Nothobranchius furzeri: one gene and its partner. The protein of the gene in region 2 purifies or fractionates together with the protein of the main gene of each other region. This does not show direct contact. Links are inferred from orthologs where the notes say so. Each region holds a gene or a part of one and is shown on either strand. Other genes may lie near its edges.

Evidence for each region.
Region 1: the proteins of sirt7 (region 2) and fbl purify together in Homo sapiens (affinity purification with mass spectrometry; 3 studies listed by BioGRID, with this or other methods). This does not show direct contact. The link is inferred for Nothobranchius furzeri from reciprocal best matches to the Homo sapiens genes SIRT7 and FBL.

The regions. Positions count from the first base shown.
Region 1 is NC_091745.1:58,454,709-58,458,522, reverse strand, and holds part of fbl (rRNA 2'-O-methyltransferase fibrillarin), read right to left. Parts: intron 2,884-3,814; coding exon 2,789-2,883; intron 2,710-2,788; coding exon 2,539-2,709; intron 1-2,538.
Region 2 is NC_091746.1:22,678,833-22,683,207, reverse strand, and holds the start of sirt7 (NAD-dependent protein deacetylase sirtuin-7), read left to right. Parts: upstream 1-1,282; 5' UTR 1,283-1,395; coding exon 1,396-1,500; intron 1,501-1,845; coding exon 1,846-1,983; intron 1,984-2,832; coding exon 2,833-2,937; intron 2,938-3,011; coding exon 3,012-3,082; intron 3,083-3,155; coding exon 3,156-3,228; intron 3,229-3,312; coding exon 3,313-3,411; intron 3,412-4,375. Other genes in the region: uncharacterized protein cp110, read left to right, coding at 117-199, 376-535. UniProt on the Homo sapiens protein: NAD-dependent protein-lysine deacylase that can act both as a deacetylase or deacylase (desuccinylase, depropionylase, deglutarylase and dedecanoylase), depending on the context. Specifically mediates deacetylation of histone H3 at 'Lys-18' (H3K18Ac).

The DNA of each region.
Region 1 (3,814 bases), on a different chromosome or scaffold from region 2:
CAAACGCAAGAAGCTGTTAGCGAAAATGATAACAGTAGCTTTACCAGCTTTAAGTTCAAGTTACCAAGTTTAACTAAACCAAAAACACCCAGCAAACAGACCAGCACGGAGGAGAGACTGCTACCACCAAAACAGCTCTCCTAATGTCTGAAAAAAGCTCCTTTATGAAGGGAGAAACGCTCCCGGTGATTTTCTACATCTGTGGTAGAGACGGAGCAGCGCATCTGACCCCGGAAGTTGTTGTCCATTGCCGGGAGACGAAGGCGGGCAAAATAGGAAAGCAATCTAGTAGCGGACGGACATTGTTCCGGGTCTTTGGTATTTGGTGGAGATGTTAGTGAAGGCGGAGAAGAGGGCGAACTAGAGGAAAAACAGGCAGATTCCTCCTCTATTTACAAACTCCTGGGGATGCAACAAGTGGGCGTGGTGCGTCGACTACCGGATCTGACGTCGACAAATTTTTAGAATCGAGCCGTCAACGTCATCGAGGCTTCGCTACAGCCCTCTGTTTGATACCAAGTGGAAGCTCATTCCAGAGACCAAGAAAGCCTGATCCCCTCTAGACCTGTACCAAGTAGGGCTGCTCAATTAATCGAATTTTAATCACAATTATGATCTGAGTTTTGAACGATTATAAAAACAAAACAAGCCGATTATTTGCTCCTCTCTCTTCCACTACTCCGAGTTGCAAATCAAGCGCTCCTCCCACAGTTTTGCCAACTTGTTGCCATGGGCTGCATGGTGACGCAGTGGTTAGCACTGTTGCCTCGCAACACGAAGGTTGCAGGTTCGAAACTTAGCTCGGCTGTGGCCTTTCTGCGTGGAGTTGCGTGTTCTCCCCATGCATGCGTGGGTTTCCTCCGGGTACTCCGGTTTCCCCCACAGATCACAACATGCCCTATAGGTTATAAATTGTAAGTCGCTTCGGATAAAAGAGTCTGATAAATGAATAAACATAAACTTACTTTGTCGCCATTTCCAACAGCTTTTCAGACCCCTTCTTGACTTTTTAAATCCTAAAAGTACCTAGCGAACACCCTAGAAACATTTACGGTAACCCTTAGCTACTTTCTGGGTAACTTTCATTGACATTTCCTGCAGGTTAGCAAAACATTCCGCCTGCGCCCCGGACTGTACTTCAGGACATTAGGAAAGGAAATGATGTAGTGAGTCGCAAAAGAAACGGTTCTCAGAGCCGGCTTCCTCTTGCAGAGGTGTGATCAAGTCACTGCTTTGCGAGTCACAAAGTCTTTCTAGTCAAGTCCATGTCAAAGACAATCAAGTCCAATTCGAGTCCAAAGTCAATGATGTGAAAGTCCAAGTCAAGTCCTTAACTTTGAATTTTCAAGTCATATTCAAGTCATCTGTCCAACTTCAATTTAATGACAATGATAATAAATAAATTCCAGAAATAAAGCTTCTTAAAGCTTCATTTACTTGCTCAAACAAGCAGAAAGCGCAACTGAAGTTGATTATGAACAAAGTGCTGCTGCATTTAGCAGAGCAAGATCAAACCCAGAATGAAGAATGATTTATGATTTTTGTCCATGTCGTGCCACTTTTGTGCTAAAATATTTAATATGCTCAAGTCATCATCAAGTCAATAGATGCAAGTAGATTCAAGTCGCAAGTCACTGGTGTTCAAGTCTGAGTCAAGTTGTAAGTCTTTATAGATTTTATCAAGTCAAGTCAGAAGTCATTAAAATAATGACTCGAGTCCAAGTCATGTGACTTGAGTCCACACCTCTGCACTCTTGCATTAACTGGAGTGTGTGACACACACTGTACCTGCAGGCTACTGAGCCGTCAGACTGCAGGAGCGTGCGTGTGTAAATTCTTGCCGTTTGTATCATCATTGTGTTTTACAGGGAGTCAAAATTCTCCCATACATGCAACCTAAATGATGCAGGAGGTATTTCAAGCTCCTCTCCTCTTCAAGCGTTTCTCCTTTAAATGGAACAGGTAGTGCCTCCGCCCTTCACGTGGCCGATCTGCGAACCGCGCCCAACCGTAGAGCGAGATCTGAACGGATTGCGGATCAATGTTGGTTGCACCCCCAGGGCACGGCCACGATGTATCCCAAACGTGTGGACACAGGGGGAGGTGAACGCCGGTAAAAATGACAAACAAAGCTTGGGCACCACCCGGGCGGTAAGTCGTCAATTATTTACTGCTCGACAAGAACATTTACCGCCAATGGCGCTCAGGCAGTTAAAAGTTTCCACACCTGCAAATGTAGAGAAAATGTGAGATAATGCTCATGTGTGCTGCAGGAAAACTTTTCTTGATTGTTAGCTCTGCGATGTTCTCTGTGCGTAACGTGCTACAAACTTACTCGAGGCCAAATAAACAAATCACCTCTTGTAAAAAAAACAACTAATGGCTCAAGCCATCGTCGATGGTCGAATAATTCGTCCCATCGCCCAACCCTAGTGCACACATAAATACATTTTGGTCAAGGTCTGTATTTGACAACTGTTGTAAACACACACACACACAACACACCATTAGTTGCGTCGCACTGAGTGTTGAACTTACCGGACCTACGATGTCAGACACGTGAGACACAGTGGTACCAGAGGCAGCGCCCAGATACATGACCTTGGCTCCAGGTTTGATATGGATCTGGTCAATTCCTCCCAAGATGGCAGCAGCCAACTTTGAGCGGAAAGGATTCCATGCTCTGTACTCAATCTTCGTCTCCCCTTCCTAAAGGATGGACACCCAGCCGTTATCATTGTAAGGAAAAGCGATTAGTGATGCAATCCAGACAAAACTTCTCTCTCACCTCCACACTCATCCTCTTCTCCCCATAGACAGACTCTCCTACAACCATATTCTTGGTCACCAGAGCATCCTCCTTCCCTCGGCAGATAAACACTCCTGACAAAAAACACACAAGTTAGAGCTCAAACACTCTCTAGCTTACTCGCTCCACATACAACAGCTACTGTTGTGGTGAATCATTTCAGCAAGGGAAGGGCCCAACATGCTACCAGCATTAGCCAACTACCTAGGGCGTTTCTCAATTAGGGTTGTCACGGTAACCGGTGTAGCGGTAAACCCCGGTAAAAAAAGTTGGCAATAATAATAACCGTCTTGTTTTTTAAAAAGTATATTATCTCGGTGGATTACCGTGGCTGCGGTGTAGGTGCGGTGACCCTTACCAGCCACCGTATCATCTGCTGATGTTGCCGGCGGCACATGCGCGCTTTGTTGTCTACAACCAAAACTTTCTTGAAGCTAAAGCTGAAATAATGGCCAAAGGAGGAGACGGCAGTGCTCAGGACATTTATTATCCCTCAAAGAAGACAAAGTGGGAAGTACGGGCATTTTTTTGATATTTGAAGAATGCCGAGGGACAGTTGATAGAAGACGGCTATCCTGTTTGCAGCACGTGCAGAAAAAGTGTCTGTGAAAGGCAGCAACGCTTCAAATCTCATGACACATCTGCGTGACCATCACCCACAACTCTACAGTCAACGTAAGGCAAGCTAACGTTAGCGTTTTAGCTAAAATGCGTGATCCGAGGATTTGGGTTGAGGGAGAATGCAACGAGTCGCTATATAAAGCAGCCGCAGTGCCGCTACCTGCATATAAACCGTGTCGCGGACACCGCCATGTTGAAATAATGCTATGCATTACGGGGCTCCCAGGGGCAGATAAGAGTTGGTCTCTCTCCGAGGCGTTGCTGCCTTTCACAGACACTTTTTCTGCACGTGCTGCAAACAGGATAGCCATCCGTCTTCTATAAACTCCCTCGGCATTCTTCAAATATCTAAAATATGCCCGTACTTCCGACTTTGCGTTCTTT
Region 2 (4,375 bases):
CTCCATTTAAGACATCTTCAGTGGAGAAGATGGAATTATTTATGCCCACACTCGTGCATGTTAGGGGGTAAACTGATGTATGTTCCTCATGTTTGTGTGTTTTGTGCACATTTTAGAAAGAACATGCAGGTTTCCCCAGAAGAACGGGTTTTCTGTCAGCAGCAACACAAAAATCACTGGAGAGGAAGAGAGAAACCATGTGAGTGTGTAGCTGGTAAAAGTTCACGTCTGTCTCCATCACATCTGCAGAAGATCTGTTGAAGTCTTAACACATTTTAATGCTGTTCATGGAAAACTTCTTAATACTCCACAGGTTAGCAGAAGCTACAGAAAATGTCTCCGTCAGCTACTAAAAACGTCTTCTCTTCCCTCCAGGATACAGAAAAGGGCTTTGGAACGGCACAGGGGAGACACGACAAAGACTGGACAGAAGTCTACATTCACAGTCGAGAGACCTCAGGAGACGAAACGAGGACAGTTCAAAGCAAATCCTCAGAGACTCCCCACGAGCGCCTACTCCTCGAGACCTCGATGACACTTCCCTAATTGGCCCCAGTGAGAACTCTAACAAGGCCTCCAGTGAACTACATGAAGAGTGTGTAACAGATGTTTAAAATCTTACATTCAAATGGATTCTGCGTTTTCAGGAGCTAGTCTTAGTCTTTTTTTATAATAAAAAATGCTTCAAGTTCCTTTTATTCATCTTGTTCGTGTTTAGAAGATGCTGAGAAAACAGAAGCGGATCTGACGTGGTGACGACATCAATAGAGACAGTTTAGCCACGGCAGAATGAAAACTAATGTAGGAGAGCAAATTAGACCCATTTCAGAGAACCACTTCCTGTGCAGTCTGGCTCACCTTTGTAGCTCATTGGGATGCCTGATCCTAAATTAGCTTCAGCTGAATCCACATATTTGTAAGGGGACCCTGGACTCACTTGGACCTGTGAGAAGAGATAGTTGAGCGTTTTTGTCCCCTTTTATGTGCCTTCAGCCAAAATTAGACAATCTTTTAAACATATTAGCACATTTTGACCCTTAATTTTGATAATGATGTGCTTTTGTAACACATCAGCATGTTACTGCAGTGGTCTGCCCGGTGCATCCTTAAAAGATTTGTACTGGTTTGGAATATTAGCCTAATTGTGTTTACACCTTTATACTTAGTTCTTGCTTTTGGATATTTGATAATGTTGGTATATTATGTTTTTGTTTGTTTTTCACAATAAAAGTTTCTCCGGGTTGATTTTGTGGAGAAAGACGCGCATGCGCCCTCCGGGCGGCAGGGGGCGCTGCTCGCTGCCTCATCATCGCTCGGCTAATATCCGCTCAGCTCGCGCTGAGGAGATGAGATGAGCTTTGTTTGTTGTTGTAGCTCTTCGGGTGTCAGAGCAGAATGGAAGGAAATGCAGAAACTGGTAATTCTTCTCGAGCCAGAAGGAAAGCTTTGGACAAGGCTAAAATACTTCAAAGAGAACGGGAGAGGAAGATTTTCAGACTGGTGAGATGAGAGAAGGGTAACAATAAAAGATGGCAGCGCTAGCAAGCTACATTAGCAGTAAACCAGCGGTTTCCCGAAGTTCTGCAGACATGCTGATGCATCCCACCCACTAAACTACAAATGTTCACGTGTCAGAATCCAACAGTTAGGCTGTAAACGTCATTAACATCTGACCAGTGTCACAACGTGTGGTATTTCCCATGTTTCTGCTGCTATAATGGAAAACAAGTCGTTATTTTATCTTAATGCTTGGACCCAAAACTCCTCCACAGTCTGGGGAAGGAAAAAGTGGTAGTGAGCACATCTCTACGTAGCACCGGTAAACCTGCCCGGTTCTCGCTGCAGGTCGGACAGGTGCTGAAGAAGCCGGAAACGGAACGGTCTAAGGAAGAAGTCGCTGCGCTTGTCCTGCACAGAGAAACCGTGGATGAGGTGTGCAAGAGACAAATCCGCAGGAGTGTCCTCAAGAGGAAGCAGGAGGAGGTGAGACTCAAGGTTAACGTCGTTAGGGACAGGTGAGCCCACACCTGTAGCAAATCATTCAAGTGCAACAAATGATCCTAAAGTTCAAAAACTGCTATTTTTATGAGTTTATTTTAACTATAGTTATATTTTAATTATCATACCACACAATGTGTCTGGTTTAGTGAAAAAGTTTGATCAAATGTGTTTTTAGTTGCTGCTCAGTGTCGCAGTGGTTAGCGCTGTTGCCTTGCAGCTAGAAGGTCTTGGGTTAAAATCCCAGCCTGGGGTTTGCATGTTCTCCCCAGGTACTCCGGCTTCCTCCCACAGTCCAAAGCATGGCTGTCAGGTTGACTGGTCTGTCTAAATGGTCCTTAGGTGTGTGTGTGTGCTCGGTTGTTTGTCCAAAGGGTTCAAATGAAGTCAGCTGGACTTCTTTGGTTTCTTGAAGACGTTTAACTTGTCATCCGAGGAGCTCTGTCAATTCTGACTGGAACGTGGGAGAGTCAAGCTCATAAGCTGTAGCCGTCTGTTGTTATTTAATGAGCAGAAACTACTCTGAATATCCCGCGTCTCCATCCCCTGATGAGTCGTTGGCCTCTATTGAGAGGGAGTGGTTGTAGTAGAGGCTAACGACTCATCAGGGGATGGAGAGGGAAGTCTGGGCGTCTCTGCTTAGGCTGCTGCCCCCGGGGACCCTGGATAAGCGGCTGAAGATGGACGGACAAAAGAAAAAATCAGGATTTATTTTCACAATAAATTCAAGATATCATGTTTAACCAGAATTACACATTTATCATTAAACGCGCGATGTTTGACTCTGATTACCTGCTTGTTTATTCTCAGGCTCTGTTCTTGTGCTGTTTTCAGGTGTTTGATGATGCTGATGAGTTGAAACTCAAAGTCAAACAACTGGCTGAGGCGGTCAGGGAAGCTCATCACCTGGTGGTTTACACTGGAGCTGGTATCAGCACGGTATTCCAAACCTCCCCTATTTGTTGCTCTTGTGATTTAGAAACCTTCAATGTACCAGTAGTTTCTCGTTTTAGGCTGCTTCTATCCCAGACTACAGGGGCCCTAACGGGGTGTGGACGCAGCTGCAGAAGGGAAAGGCAATAAGGTGAGAGGCACATCTTTATCAAAAAGCTGGTCATAGTCTGGGTTTCAAATTTCTGTCGTTTCTTCTGTCCCAGTTCGTCAGACTTGAGTAAAGCTGCACCGACGCTCACTCACATGTGCATTAGGATGCTCCACAAGGAGAAGCTGGTATGTGAGACAAGTTTGGATGGTTTAGAAAGGTTGGACCTCATTTCTAAAGCTACATTTAATTCTGTCTGTTTTTCAATCAAGGTGAAGCATGTTGTGTCACAGAACTGTGATGGACTTCACCTGCGAAGCGGTCTTCCCCGACACGCCCTCTCTGAGCTTCATGGGAACATGTACATTGAAGTAAAGCCTGATTTTTTACTTCTCCGTCTGCGTCGGCACAAGGGCTCTGACAGGGTTCACAGGGGGTGATGGTGACATGCCCAAAATTTTAAACATCCGTAGAAAGTGATGGAGAACGCAAGCTTGTGATTGGTCAGGACGCCGCTTTCTGTAGATTCGTCACCAGCTCCGCCGTTGCCCTGTTAAAGAGTAAAGCGATATTTAGCTGCAGACCCAGAACAGATTGAAGATTGCATCGTGGAAAAAGTCAGAAAATATCAACGTTTATTCACCCGTGACTGAAGGAGTACAAAATACGGAACAAACGTGGACGAGAGCGACAGGAAGCGTGGGTTTAGAGGTGGCGAGGGCATGAAGAGCTGGAGGAGAATGGACAAAATTGTCCGTGTTATAAAGTCTCTGAAACACATGAAGACGTTAGTAAACACGTGTACCGGATACAGGAGTTTTATGGTGGCAGGGTACCGCAGAAAAGAGCTACGCCCTCTGCTGTGCTGGCGGGGAATTGCTTATCGATGCTCCGCTGCCTGAACAGAGGGTCGCATATGAAAACCTTTCAAACTTCATGTCAGGAATCTTGGCGTGACCTTTGACCCAGCTCTCACCCTGGATTCTCATGTCAGTTCTCTTGTTCGCTCTTCCTTCTTCCATCTCAGGAACGTTGCTAAGCTGAGTCCCATTCTGTCTCGCTCTGAACTTGAGACAGTTCTCCACACCTTCATCTCCTCACGCTTAGACTACTGTAACTTTCTTTTCACGTGTCTGAGCAGAACCTCCCTGAACCGTCTACAGGTGGTTCAGAACGCCTGTGCTCGGCTTCTGACCAAGTCCTCCAAACACACCCACATCACCCCGCTTCTCCTCCAGCTTCACTGGCTGCCAGTCAACTTCAGGGTTCATTTCAAGATCCTGGTTCTGGTCTATAGGGCCTTACATGGACAAGCACCATCTTACATTGGTGATC